Linked DNA regions of Saccharomyces cerevisiae S288C. The gene in region 1 interacts genetically with each later gene. Each region holds a gene or a part of one and is shown in the gene's direction. Other genes may lie near its edges.

Region 1 (5,200 bases):
AGCCATGGCTATTGACAAGATAATCAGGAAGGTGAGATACCCTGGATAGAAGACTAAGAGAGAGCAGGAAGTTGAAGAACGCAATCTCAGCTATCGCTAATTCTTACAAAAAATAAAGATATTACAACTATGGAAGAAAAAAATGAATGACTATACTAGTTAGTAATATTTAACAAGATAACGCTTTCTATTTTCTGTAAAAAAAATTCTGTCTCATGCACTTGGAAGCAGCTTCAACATTTCTCTTTTCCAGATGTCACATTTTCCGGACCGGCCGTCATTCAATCGCAATTAAAAGAGAAAAATACCAACAAGTGGGTTGATTTACTTTTGTGTTTTCAAAAAGACCAATAGTTCTAACAAAGTAGATGCTTAGAAGTAAGCAAAGTGGAATATAGAGAAACAAAATTAAGTGATAGATTTACTTTTACACAAGAAAAGAGATGAAAATTTTCAATACAATACAATCTGTGCTGTTCGCAGCATTTTTTCTAAAACAGGGAAATTGCCTTGCGTCAAATGGGAGTACCGCATTGATGGGGGAAGTAGATATGCAAACGCCCTTTCCAGAGTGGTTAACAGAATTTACTAATCTTACACAATGGCCTGGAATTGACCCACCTTATATTCCGCTAGATTACATAAATCTTACTGAAGTGCCAGAATTAGATAGGTACTATCCTGGCCAGTGTCCCAAAATTTCTAGAGAGCAGTGCTCATTTGACTGCTATAACTGCATCGATGTTGATGATGTAACTTCGTGTTTCAAACTTTCCCAAACATTTGACGACGGTCCGGCCCCGGCGACAGAGGCATTGCTCAAGAAATTGAGACAAAGAACCACTTTTTTTGTTCTGGGGATAAACACTGTTAATTATCCTGATATATATGAGCATATTTTAGAGAGGGGTCATTTGATTGGTACACACACGTGGTCACATGAATTCTTGCCAAGTTTATCAAACGAAGAAATTGTAGCCCAAATTGAATGGTCAATTTGGGCTATGAATGCCACAGGCAAACATTTCCCCAAGTATTTTAGGCCTCCATACGGTGCAATTGATAATAGGGTTAGAGCTATAGTAAAACAGTTTGGCCTAACGGTTGTCTTGTGGGATCTCGATACTTTTGATTGGAAATTAATCACTAATGATGATTTCAGAACAGAGGAAGAAATACTTATGGACATAAATACTTGGAAGGGAAAACGGAAAGGTTTGATCTTAGAGCACGATGGTGCACGAAGAACAGTTGAGGTTGCTATTAAAATCAACGAACTTATTGGTAGTGACCAATTGACAATTGCAGAATGTATTGGTGATACAGACTACATCGAACGCTACGACTAGAAGTAAGATTTCCGAGAAATAAAGTTTCTCTCTATATATCTTTGATCTCTTATTTAATTATTCAACTCGCAAAAATAAAAAGAATATTTTGTTATTTCAAAAGTAAAAAAGTATGTATTAGAATAGAGGACATATATAAAAATCATATATATCGATGCTTGAATGTATAAGGAAAAGCGTCAAATTATGAACGGTAGGTACTTAGGATGCTGATGTCACATAAAGTCAGAGGGTATAACTTTAAAAAGTAATTTTTTAGAATCTTTTAGCGTCAAAACGTTACACGTACATTTGAACAGTGTTAAGAGTAGATTAATTCAAATTATACTTTTACGTGCTCCGATACAGTCTCTACCTCTTCGTTGTCAGTGCAAATAACAATTGGCTTATCATGAACTGTTCTTGGAGATGGAGAATATCCTTTCAGACTCGTAATATTGATGACGGTAGTTATTCTGCGACATTGAGTAGTACTAGCATCCCTTATAACCGGAATAGTTGTTGATGTAGGTGAACTTTTTGGGACATAACACTTGGCAGTTGTTTGCAAATTTTTTGTGATCATTGATATGTTTCTTAGTGACATTTTTGATGCTATTGTTTTTATAGTGTAATTGCTATGAGTTTATTTTGTTGACAAGTATACTTGGCTGTCTTTTTTATATAATAACGAAAATGTGTAGTGGAAAAGCAGGTGTGTTTTGTCTTATATCTTACAAACTATATAGGCTTATATAGTTTTTTTTCAAAGATTCTTATTACTGCACAAAAAAAAATAAGATCCCAAATTGAACATTAACATTAGTCATATTCAGGGATGGCTCATCACGAACAGCAAACTGAATAATTTTCTTGTCTGCGTTCCTTTTTTTGTGCACCAATGGATGTAGTATGCGCACCTGATGCGCATAATAGATTGCAATTACACTGACTACAACTTACGTATATGCGTTTTTATTACTTTTCTATTGCAACGGCCTAAAGGAATTCGATAAAAGAAAGAGTAGGCAAGATAAGCCTGAATTTGGCTTTCGGCTGTTATTTTTACTTCCGCTAAATTTTCTTTGTTCTTCCATTGTTTTTTTGCCTTTGTGTTCTCCATTAATCCATCCAATTTTAATGTCGGATTAATGGAACTTTCTATTAACCCATAAATGCCACATAGTACGGCTGTAGCAGTGAAGGTTACAAAAGGACGGGTAACACATGAGAAACATGCGTCAGGGAACAAACTAGATATTTGATTTTGTGACGCAACGCAAAAATTACTGGCTATTCTTTTGTAGTATTATCAAAATCCATTTAAAATATTCTCTCTCCTTCAGTAATCCTCTATTATTTATCAAAAACCCACAGTGGGTAAACAAACTGCAAAAGAGTTGTTATTATTTCTACGGATCGGCAATTGAAAATGAGAATACAACTAAATACAATTGATTTGCAATGTATTATTGCACTTTCCTGTCTGGGGCAATTTGTTCACGCGGAAGCTAATAGGGAAGATTTAAAGCAGATAGACTTTCAATTTCCTGTATTGGAAAGGGCAGCTACAAAAACGCCTTTTCCGGATTGGCTTAGTGCATTTACCGGGTTAAAAGAATGGCCTGGGTTAGATCCACCTTATATACCTTTAGATTTCATTGATTTCAGTCAAATTCCAGATTATAAGGAATATGATCAAAACCATTGCGACAGTGTTCCAAGGGACTCGTGCTCTTTCGATTGCCATCACTGCACCGAACACGATGATGTGTACACATGTTCCAAACTTTCCCAGACATTTGACGATGGTCCTTCTGCTTCCACTACTAAATTATTGGACCGGTTGAAGCATAATTCCACCTTCTTCAATTTAGGTGTCAATATAGTTCAACATCCAGATATCTATCAAAGAATGCAAAAGGAGGGACACTTAATCGGCTCACATACCTGGTCTCACGTATATTTGCCAAATGTATCGAATGAAAAAATTATAGCTCAAATTGAATGGTCCATCTGGGCGATGAATGCTACTGGCAACCATACCCCCAAATGGTTCAGACCTCCATATGGCGGAATAGATAATAGAGTAAGAGCAATAACAAGGCAATTTGGCTTACAAGCCGTCTTATGGGATCACGATACTTTTGATTGGAGCCTCCTTCTCAATGATTCTGTCATAACTGAACAAGAAATTCTTCAAAATGTAATAAACTGGAACAAGTCAGGAACCGGATTAATATTAGAACACGATTCAACGGAAAAAACTGTCGATCTTGCCATTAAAATAAATAAGTTGATAGGTGATGATCAATCAACAGTTTCTCATTGTGTCGGCGGAATTGATTACATAAAAGAATTCTTGTCCTAATTTTCAGGGAATTGAAGAAAATAAGGAAGAATTAAATTACAATTTAAAAAGAAATTGCTTTAGTATTTTATATATAGACATGCAGCAACTTCTTGATATATTTCAGGAAGAAAAAAACTGTTTCAATATATACGTATCTTCTGCTTTCAGCTACATTTTTACTTCAGAGACATAACCAGTCTTTTTTCATCAGTACTGTCCAGTTGTAACAACATAGAAATTACAGGAAGTAATTGGTTCCGTTGTTCCTTGTGCTCCAAAAATCCCAACAAAACATTTTTTATATATGCAATTTTTTCATTTTTCTCAGAGTCTAACTCCAATGAACTTGATGATCGTATCTTCTCTAATTTAGTTGGATTAGAGTTATTCGCTGGTGAGGAATCAATATTCGCGTTAGCTAGAGTACCGATAGAACCAGACCTACTAACTCTTCCTGACTTGTCACTGTATTGTCTTTCCTTTAAAGCATTCAATTGAGAGGACAATGAACGATAATTTTTTAGTAATCGATCAAATTTCTTGTTAAGTTCGTTATTTAAATTCAGAAGTTTCTCATTGGCAGACTGTAGCTCAAAATTCTTTTCATCAGCCTTAGACAATGAGAGTTTTAAATTAGATGTGATCTGTTCCAACTGATCGGAATCATCTGAAGTGGCTTGAGTCTTCCTTTTGATGTCATTGTTAACATGTTTCAATGCGTCAACCTCTGATTTTAGTCCCTCTTCACGAAGCTTTAAAGCGTGTATTTCCGATTTCAGCTCAGTTACTGTATGCTTCCACTCTTGTAATTCAGTGGCCTTTCTGGATGTTTGTAAGTCTAATTCTGCTTCCAATTTATTCTTTTCATCCGTTAAATAGGCCAATTTATTCTCCAACTCTTTTTGTTTGCTCGAATCATCTGTCTGACTGTCCGAAACTAACCTTCTCAATGTGTTAGCTTCTCTGGTTTTGTCTTGAACAATATTAGCATATTCATTTAGTTCATCTTCTAAAGATAAAATTTTTTTTGTAGATTCCTTCAACTTGACATTTAGTTCCTCACATTGTCTTTTGATAGAATCTATGTGTTCATTCGAATTACTTTTTACATTTTGCAAGGTATTGTATTTTTCTTGCAAAATATTCAATCTTTCCGATAATTTACCATTTTCTTTCAAATACTCCTCGTAGGAATTAGAATTCTTTGCGATATCATTATGCAGTGTCTCATTTTCCTTTTTTAATAAGTCTAATCTGTTAGAAATTTTAGCATGATCTTTTCTCAGCTGTTCTGTGGATTTTTCAGCCACGTCCTTTTGCTCACTAAATTGTTTAACTTGTTCCTCCAAGTAACTCACAGTTTTTTCCTTTTGTTTATAAGAGGTTCTTAAAGAAGTAAGCTCCTTTGTTATGTTTGATTTTTCGTAGGTAAGTTGAGATATCTCCTCATTTAATTTGGCTACCTTGTTCTGCGATGTAGTCTGCTCTTTCTCCTTTTCTGTACATAAATTCTTCAGAT
Region 2 (3,315 bases), on another chromosome or scaffold:
CTCAAGCCGAAAGAGTAGCTGAATTCGTGGTCCATAGCCAGCCATTCGAAGGTAGTTGGCACTTTTGATCCGGCATGGTACATTAAAGTTCCTTTGGGAATTACAGCGGGAAAATAAGATACTCCGACAGGATGTATATCCGATGGAGACTGTCTTAAAGCAGCTCGAATGGAATTAAAGATAGCCGTGCTGTTATCAAAATCAATGTCTCTGACAAACTCATGGTAATTATCCCATCGTATAGAAGGTGTGTCTGTGATTTTGGTTGCAGGTTGCTTGTGTGGTAGGGCAGTTGACACTATGCCATAAGATTCAGATAATTTCCAACAGAAACCAAGCAGCACAATGAGCAGTACGCCTACGGTGGCTGCGGTACCTTGACGGTGGAATCTCATTATTTATGTAAACAATTATAAATGGGCTCTTCGAGAACTGAGGCCATAGAATTTTTTTTTTTTATGAATTTTTTTTATCATCCTAATACTTTTTGTCTTTTAAGAGTGAAGAGCCGCAAGTTTCTTTTTTTTTTTATTTTGTTTTTAATTTTTTTCTTGGCATAGAATTTTTACACCCCGATCTTTTTTTTACATACGTAGTTCATTGCCGCTGATTACTGCATCGTCTCGCTTTGCCCGGAGAACGGTTGTTAACTTGTGTTTAATGTGGTGTAAAGACAATGTCAATGCAAGTGACATGAACACTGTAATACATCACATTGGTAAACAAAGCTTGAATCGTGAACCTTTCTCTAAAAATTTCGATAATATGCATAAAGGTTCTTGAAGCTCCCCTTGTTCAAGTGGTTTATTTTTCTATAGATATTTACACTCCGCAAGTGCAAAAAAAAAGCATTATCGCTAACGATCAAGAGGAACTGAGACCTTATTAGTTGTCTTTGTTGGCGTAACATAAATTTCTTAGGAAAAGAGAAAATTATCTCGAAGGCAAAAATAAACCAAGCCTCGAGTTTAATGGTTTTCTAAAAAACACTTTAAAAACAGATCGCCATAAAAGGAGAAGCTCCGTAGGAGACCGTTTTCGAAACCTATGTAGAAATAAAGGGAAAGCTCCAACGGTTTGGATAAATCTTTAGAAGCATAGAGTTTATACAACATTCAGTACGAAATGTACTCTCGAAACGTTCTCTTTTCACGGTGCTTAGTAGCAGAAAAAAGTGTCGGAAATTACCTATTTTGTCACCACTCGAGGATAGGCTTGAAAGAGAGTTTTAACCCCAACTTTTCTATTTTGCACTTGTTTGGCTATGGTTTAAAACATTCTGTTTGGACCAACAGCCCAAGCGGCTTATCCCTTTTCTTTTTTTCCCTTATAATCGGGAATTTCCTTACTAGGAAGGCACCGATACTAGAACTCCGAATGAAAAAGACATGCCAGTAATAAAACTATTTTGATGTTATGCGGAATATACTATTCTTGGATTATTCACTGTTAACTAAAAGTTGGAGAAATCACTCTGCACTGTCAATCATTGAAAAAAAGAACATATAAAAGGGCACAAAATTGAGTCTTTTTTAATGAGTTCTTGCTGAGGAAAGTTTAGTTAATATATCATTTACGTAAAATATGCATATTCTTGTATTGTGCTTTTTTTATTCATTTTAAGCAGGAACAATTTACAAGTATTGCAACGCTAATCAAATCAAAATAACAGCTGAAAATTAATATGTCGAAGGGAAAGGTTTTGCTGGTTCTTTACGAAGGTGGTAAGCATGCTGAAGAGCAGGAAAAGTTATTGGGGTGTATTGAAAATGAACTTGGTATCAGAAATTTCATTGAAGAACAGGGATACGAGTTGGTTACTACCATTGACAAGGACCCTGAGCCAACCTCAACGGTAGACAGGGAGTTGAAAGACGCTGAAATTGTCATTACTACGCCCTTTTTCCCCGCCTACATCTCGAGAAACAGGATTGCAGAAGCTCCTAACCTGAAGCTCTGTGTAACCGCTGGCGTCGGTTCAGACCATGTCGATTTAGAAGCTGCAAATGAACGGAAAATCACGGTCACCGAAGTTACTGGTTCTAACGTCGTTTCTGTCGCAGAGCACGTTATGGCCACAATTTTGGTTTTGATAAGAAACTATAATGGTGGTCATCAACAAGCAATTAATGGTGAGTGGGATATTGCCGGCGTGGCTAAAAATGAGTATGATCTGGAAGACAAAATAATTTCAACGGTAGGTGCCGGTAGAATTGGATATAGGGTTCTGGAAAGATTGGTCGCATTTAATCCGAAGAAGTTACTGTACTACGACTACCAGGAACTACCTGCGGAAGCAATCAATAGATTGAACGAGGCCAGCAAGCTTTTCAATGGCAGAGGTGATATTGTTCAGAGAGTAGAGAAATTGGAGGATATGGTTGCTCAGTCAGATGTTGTTACCATCAACTGTCCATTGCACAAGGACTCAAGGGGTTTATTCAATAAAAAGCTTATTTCCCACATGAAAGATGGTGCATACTTGGTGAATACCGCTAGAGGTGCTATTTGTGTCGCAGAAGATGTTGCCGAGGCAGTCAAGTCTGGTAAATTGGCTGGCTATGGTGGTGATGTCTGGGATAAGCAACCAGCACCAAAAGACCATCCCTGGAGGACTATGGACAATAAGGACCACGTGGGAAACGCAATGACTGTTCATATCAGTGGCACATCTCTGGATGCTCAAAAGAGGTACGCTCAGGGAGTAAAGAACATCCTAAATAGTTACTTTTCCAAAAAGTTTGATTACCGTCCACAGGATATTATTGTGCAGAATGGTTCTTATGCCACCAGAGCTTATGGACAGAAGAAATAAGAGTGATTATGAGTATTTGTGAGCAGAAGTTTTCCGGTCTCCTTTTGTTCTTGTTTTGGCGTATTCTCCACTATTCGTCCATAGCACATTTATACCTTAGCTAAATATTTTGTAAAGCAAAATTTTCGTTATCTCTTAAAAAATAGAAGAGCGGTTTATTAATATCAAATAATTGAAACTGCTGATATGGTAGCTATATACAAAATCTGCTGTCAAAATTTGGCAGTAAACGATCTTCACGGTAGCGGTTCAAATAAAGAGGAAAAGTCTTTCTCCCTTACTGTTTTTCTGGAATTTGGCTCGTCGTTAATAACAGAACTAAAGATACAGTAAAAGGAGAGATCGCAATCAACTTCATTAATTGTAACAGTAGCATAATCACAACTGATCATCTACACTATAAACAGTTTTTATTTCTAATTATGGGCGCCTGGCCGGCTCAAACATTGTGCTTTTAAGACTCCAAAAGTATCTGCTGCAGAAAAGAGCCATATAATGTT
Region 3 (3,767 bases), on another chromosome or scaffold:
CAATGCCAATTTGGAGATAGCAATACGTACACCACCGATACCTTGGTCACCAATTCCCAGAATACCTTCCGAATCCGACACAACGATGTAGTCTACATCTTTGTCTCCACCGTATGTAGCCAATCTACATTCGATGGAATCAGGTTCGGTAATGTCTAAAAACACACCTTCTGGCTTTCTGAACCTGTGGGAATAGGCAGCAATAGCATCACCTTCGGTTGGGGTGTAAATGATAGGAACTAATTCCTTGATATGTCTCCTTATTAATGCAAAATATAGGACTTTGTTCTGTACTCTCAAAGACGTCATGAAGTCGTTTTTGGCCAAGGGCGTCTTCAAATAGCATAACTGCTTGTAGCTTCTTTCCAGTTGTTCGTCCAAAGTGTTCACTTGTGGTGGTAGCAATGCTTCTAAATTAAACGCTTCCCTTTCTTCTTGTGTAAATGCAGAACCCTTGTTAAATAAAGGAGAGTTTAAAAGTTGAAAGCTCTCCAAGGGACATTCTATGGCACCTTCTACAGTCAAACGAGTGGCATGTGGGTGAGGAGCTTCGAAGATCTTTCTGGCGCGAGAACCGACGGGTGTTTTAGTGACCTCCTCGTCGCTGTATGGCTTTTGGAAAGTATTTTCTCTTGTTGTGGTAGCTTTATGCGATCTAGTGTTAGAAGAATATAAACGCGATTGCTGAATAGGCCATCTTCTTAATGGTGCTGTCCTTGATGCTGTCAAGGATCTGGTTAGTTGCGATCTAGCAGCAACGGAAACGGATAGTCTGGTTCTAAGCATAACCGTATTTCTACCTTTTGTCTTGGTATTTATGTGCACTAAACTCGTTAAAAGTTGTAGGTTTCAAAAGCACAAATATCCGAAGCTGGACACAATATACGAGTAAGTATAAAGATACGCATATATATATATATATAATATGTCAATCATGCCGGTAACGGGTACGACTTCGAAACTCTATAGCGCTAAAGCTGTAGACCAAAGGAAGTCAAATGGAGCATACGCGGTACAGTAATAGGAAATTGCGAAAATTTTTCACCATAGAAAGGCGATGATGAGTCGAAGCCAAGGGGACTCAGTCACTCAGTCAGCTGATGCGATGCGATGTTAGCGCAAACAATAACGCGTACGATAATAAAACTTCAAATGCGCCAATTCTTTTTTTTTTTTTTTTTTTTTTTTGATTTCTTTTCATATATCCGATTTAAACCGCCTAGGGAAGAGTAAAAACCCGAATTGTTCCGTCTATACTTGGTTGTATGGGTGTTTTTTCTTCGATGCTTTTCGTATAAGAAGATATGCAGTGAATATCTTTCAATCGCCTTGAACGGTTGACAAGACGCAAGAATTTGAAAAACCTTGCAATGCACGATGCAATATTCAATTTGCACACATCGAAACGAATTGGTATCGAAAATAAACGCGAAACATATGAGAAATTTTTCTAACTTTTCTTCCTTCGTTAAGAGTGATCCTTGCACTGTGATGAATCGCTATAATTGTTGTAATGATTGACACTGGGTGAAGGGCAAAGGATGTCCAAATGATAAAAAAACAAAAAAATTTGGAAGTGTAAATTGTACCATGGGCGAATTTCAGGTTACTATTGTAGTCTGGTGAGTTAATACGTAATAATACTTGGTTTTTTTTTTTGGTTTTTTACTAAGCGTTACCGTGTGTAGTGATTATCTAAGCGGTTCTTGCAAGATTAGGAAAAAAGCTAATTAAGTGTAAACTTGGCAGCATGATTGCTCGTCCTAATCGAGCCAAAGATAGAAAACTACTGGAAGCAGCTGCTGCAGTGAGTAGAGTATGGATAGACCTATAGATGATATTGTGAAAAATCTTTTAAAGTTCGTCGTTAGGGGGTTTTATGGTGGCTCCTTTGTACTGGTACTCGATGCTATACTATTTCACTCGGTCCTAGCTGAAGATGACTTGAAACAATTGTTGAGCATAAATAAGACGGAACTGGGGCCGCTAATTGCTAGACTAAGATCAGACAGGTTAATATCCATACACAAACAAAGAGAATACCCTCCAAACTCAAAAAGTGTGGAAAGAGTTTACTACTATGTAAAATATCCTCATGCTATTGACGCAATCAAATGGAAGGTCCATCAAGTCGTACAAAGATTGAAGGATGACTTGGACAAAAATTCAGAACCTAATGGTTACATGTGTCCGATTTGTTTGACCAAGTACACACAATTGGAAGCTGTACAATTATTGAATTTTGATAGGACAGAATTTTTATGTTCCCTATGTGATGAACCGTTGGTGGAAGATGATTCTGGTAAAAAAAACAAAGAGAAGCAAGATAAATTAAATAGGTTAATGGACCAAATTCAGCCAATCATTGATTCTTTGAAAAAGATTGATGATTCAAGAATTGAGGAGAATACTTTCGAAATTGCATTGGCTCGCTTGATACCACCTCAAAATCAATCACATGCAGCATACACGTACAATCCAAAGAAAGGCAGCACCATGTTCAGACCGGGAGATTCTGCTCCATTGCCAAATCTTATGGGTACTGCTCTTGGTAACGACAGTAGTAGACGTGCCGGTGCTAACTCTCAAGCCACATTACACATCAACATTACCACGGCAAGTGATGAAGTGGCTCAAAGGGAATTGCAAGAGAGACAGGCTGAAGAGAAAAGAAAACAAAACGCTGTCCCTGAATGGCATAAACAGAGTACCATCGGTAAAACTGCTCTTGGTAGACTGGATAATGAAGAGGAGTTCGATCCTGTAGTTACTGCATCTGCCATGGATTCTATAAATCCTGATAATGAACCTGCACAGGAAACATCCTATCAAAATAACAGAACTCTGACCGAGCAAGAAATGGAAGAAAGAGAGAATGAAAAGACGTTGAATGATTACTACGCTGCTTTGGCTAAAAAGCAAGCAAAGCTCAATAAAGAAGAAGAGGAGGAGGAAGAAGAAGAAGAGGATGAGGAAGAAGAAGAGGAAGAAGAGATGGAAGATGTTATGGATGATAACGATGAAACTGCTAGAGAAAATGCATTGGAAGATGAATTTGAAGACGTAACGGATACAGCTGGCACCGCAAAGACAGAATCAAACACCTCCAACGACGTAAAACAAGAATCGATTAATGATAAGACTGAAGACGCTGTAAATGCTACTGCCACTGCTTCAGGTCCGAGTGCAAACGCTAAACCAAATGATGGTGATGATGATGATGATGATGATGATGATGAGATGGACATTGAGTTTGAGGACGTTTGATATGGTCCGTTTTTTTTAAATCTTACCAACTAGCTCTTACAATGTAGAACCAACTTTTCCTTTCTTCATTTTCTTCTCTATTGTATCAAGCTTCTCTTAAAATCTAAAAAAAATGAGAGAAAAAAAAAAGAATACGTCTGGAAAAAATCACATGAAAAAATTTCAGAAAAAGAAAGCGGAGCTACTAGACATATGGCATCTTTATAGTAATAATAAAAACATTACTAGTGAGAATATTGAGGTGTAAAAAATATTTTTTCGAGCATATTTAGTTTATATATATTTAATAAAGAACCTCAACTTATAGAAGGCACAGAAGGATTGCTTTATCATTCAACCAAAGTACAAAAATAATATGGTAGAGAAGGATACATGGAAACTGATAACTGCCACTGCACTATTCACTGTGGCAGTGACGACGATTACAGATTATGCTTGGACCAGTTGGCAAGCACAAAAGCAAGTAATTGCGCAACAAAAAAATAAGAATAAAGGTGGGC

What was found. A genetic interaction does not mean that the proteins touch.
Region 2: mutations in CDA2 (region 1) and FDH1 together harm fitness less than expected from each alone (positive genetic interaction), as found in Saccharomyces cerevisiae (one large-scale study listed by BioGRID).
Region 3: mutations in CDA2 (region 1) and TFA1 together harm fitness less than expected from each alone (positive genetic interaction), as found in Saccharomyces cerevisiae (one large-scale study listed by BioGRID).

What each region holds. Positions count from the first base shown.
Region 1 is NC_001144.5:745,177-750,376, forward strand, and holds CDA2 (chitin deacetylase CDA2), read left to right. Parts: upstream 1-2,760; coding exon 2,761-3,699; downstream 3,700-5,200. Other genes in the region: chitin deacetylase CDA1, read left to right, coding at 444-1,349; DPA10 (Dpa10p), read right to left, coding at 1,672-1,935; IMH1 (Imh1p), read right to left, coding at 3,858-5,200. UniProt on the Saccharomyces cerevisiae protein: Hydrolyzes the N-acetamido groups of N-acetyl-D-glucosamine residues in chitin to form chitosan and acetate. Chitosan is a component of the spore wall.
Region 2 is NC_001147.6:1,071,293-1,074,607, reverse strand, and holds FDH1 (formate dehydrogenase (NAD+)), read left to right. Parts: upstream 1-1,684; coding exon 1,685-2,815; downstream 2,816-3,315. Other genes in the region: YOR389W (uncharacterized protein), read right to left, coding at 1-395. UniProt on the Saccharomyces cerevisiae protein: Catalyzes the NAD(+)-dependent oxidation of formate to carbon dioxide. Formate oxidation is the final step in the methanol oxidation pathway in methylotrophic microorganisms.
Region 3 is NC_001143.9:383,940-387,706, forward strand, and holds TFA1 (transcription factor TFIIE subunit TFA1), read left to right. Parts: upstream 1-1,818; coding exon 1,819-3,267; downstream 3,268-3,767. Other genes in the region: MAE1 (malate dehydrogenase (oxaloacetate-decarboxylating)), read right to left, coding at 1-786; TCD2 (tRNA threonylcarbamoyladenosine dehydratase), read left to right, coding at 3,623-3,767. UniProt on the Saccharomyces cerevisiae protein: Recruits TFIIH to the initiation complex and stimulates the RNA polymerase II C-terminal domain kinase and DNA-dependent ATPase activities of TFIIH. Both TFIIH and TFIIE are required for promoter clearance by RNA polymerase.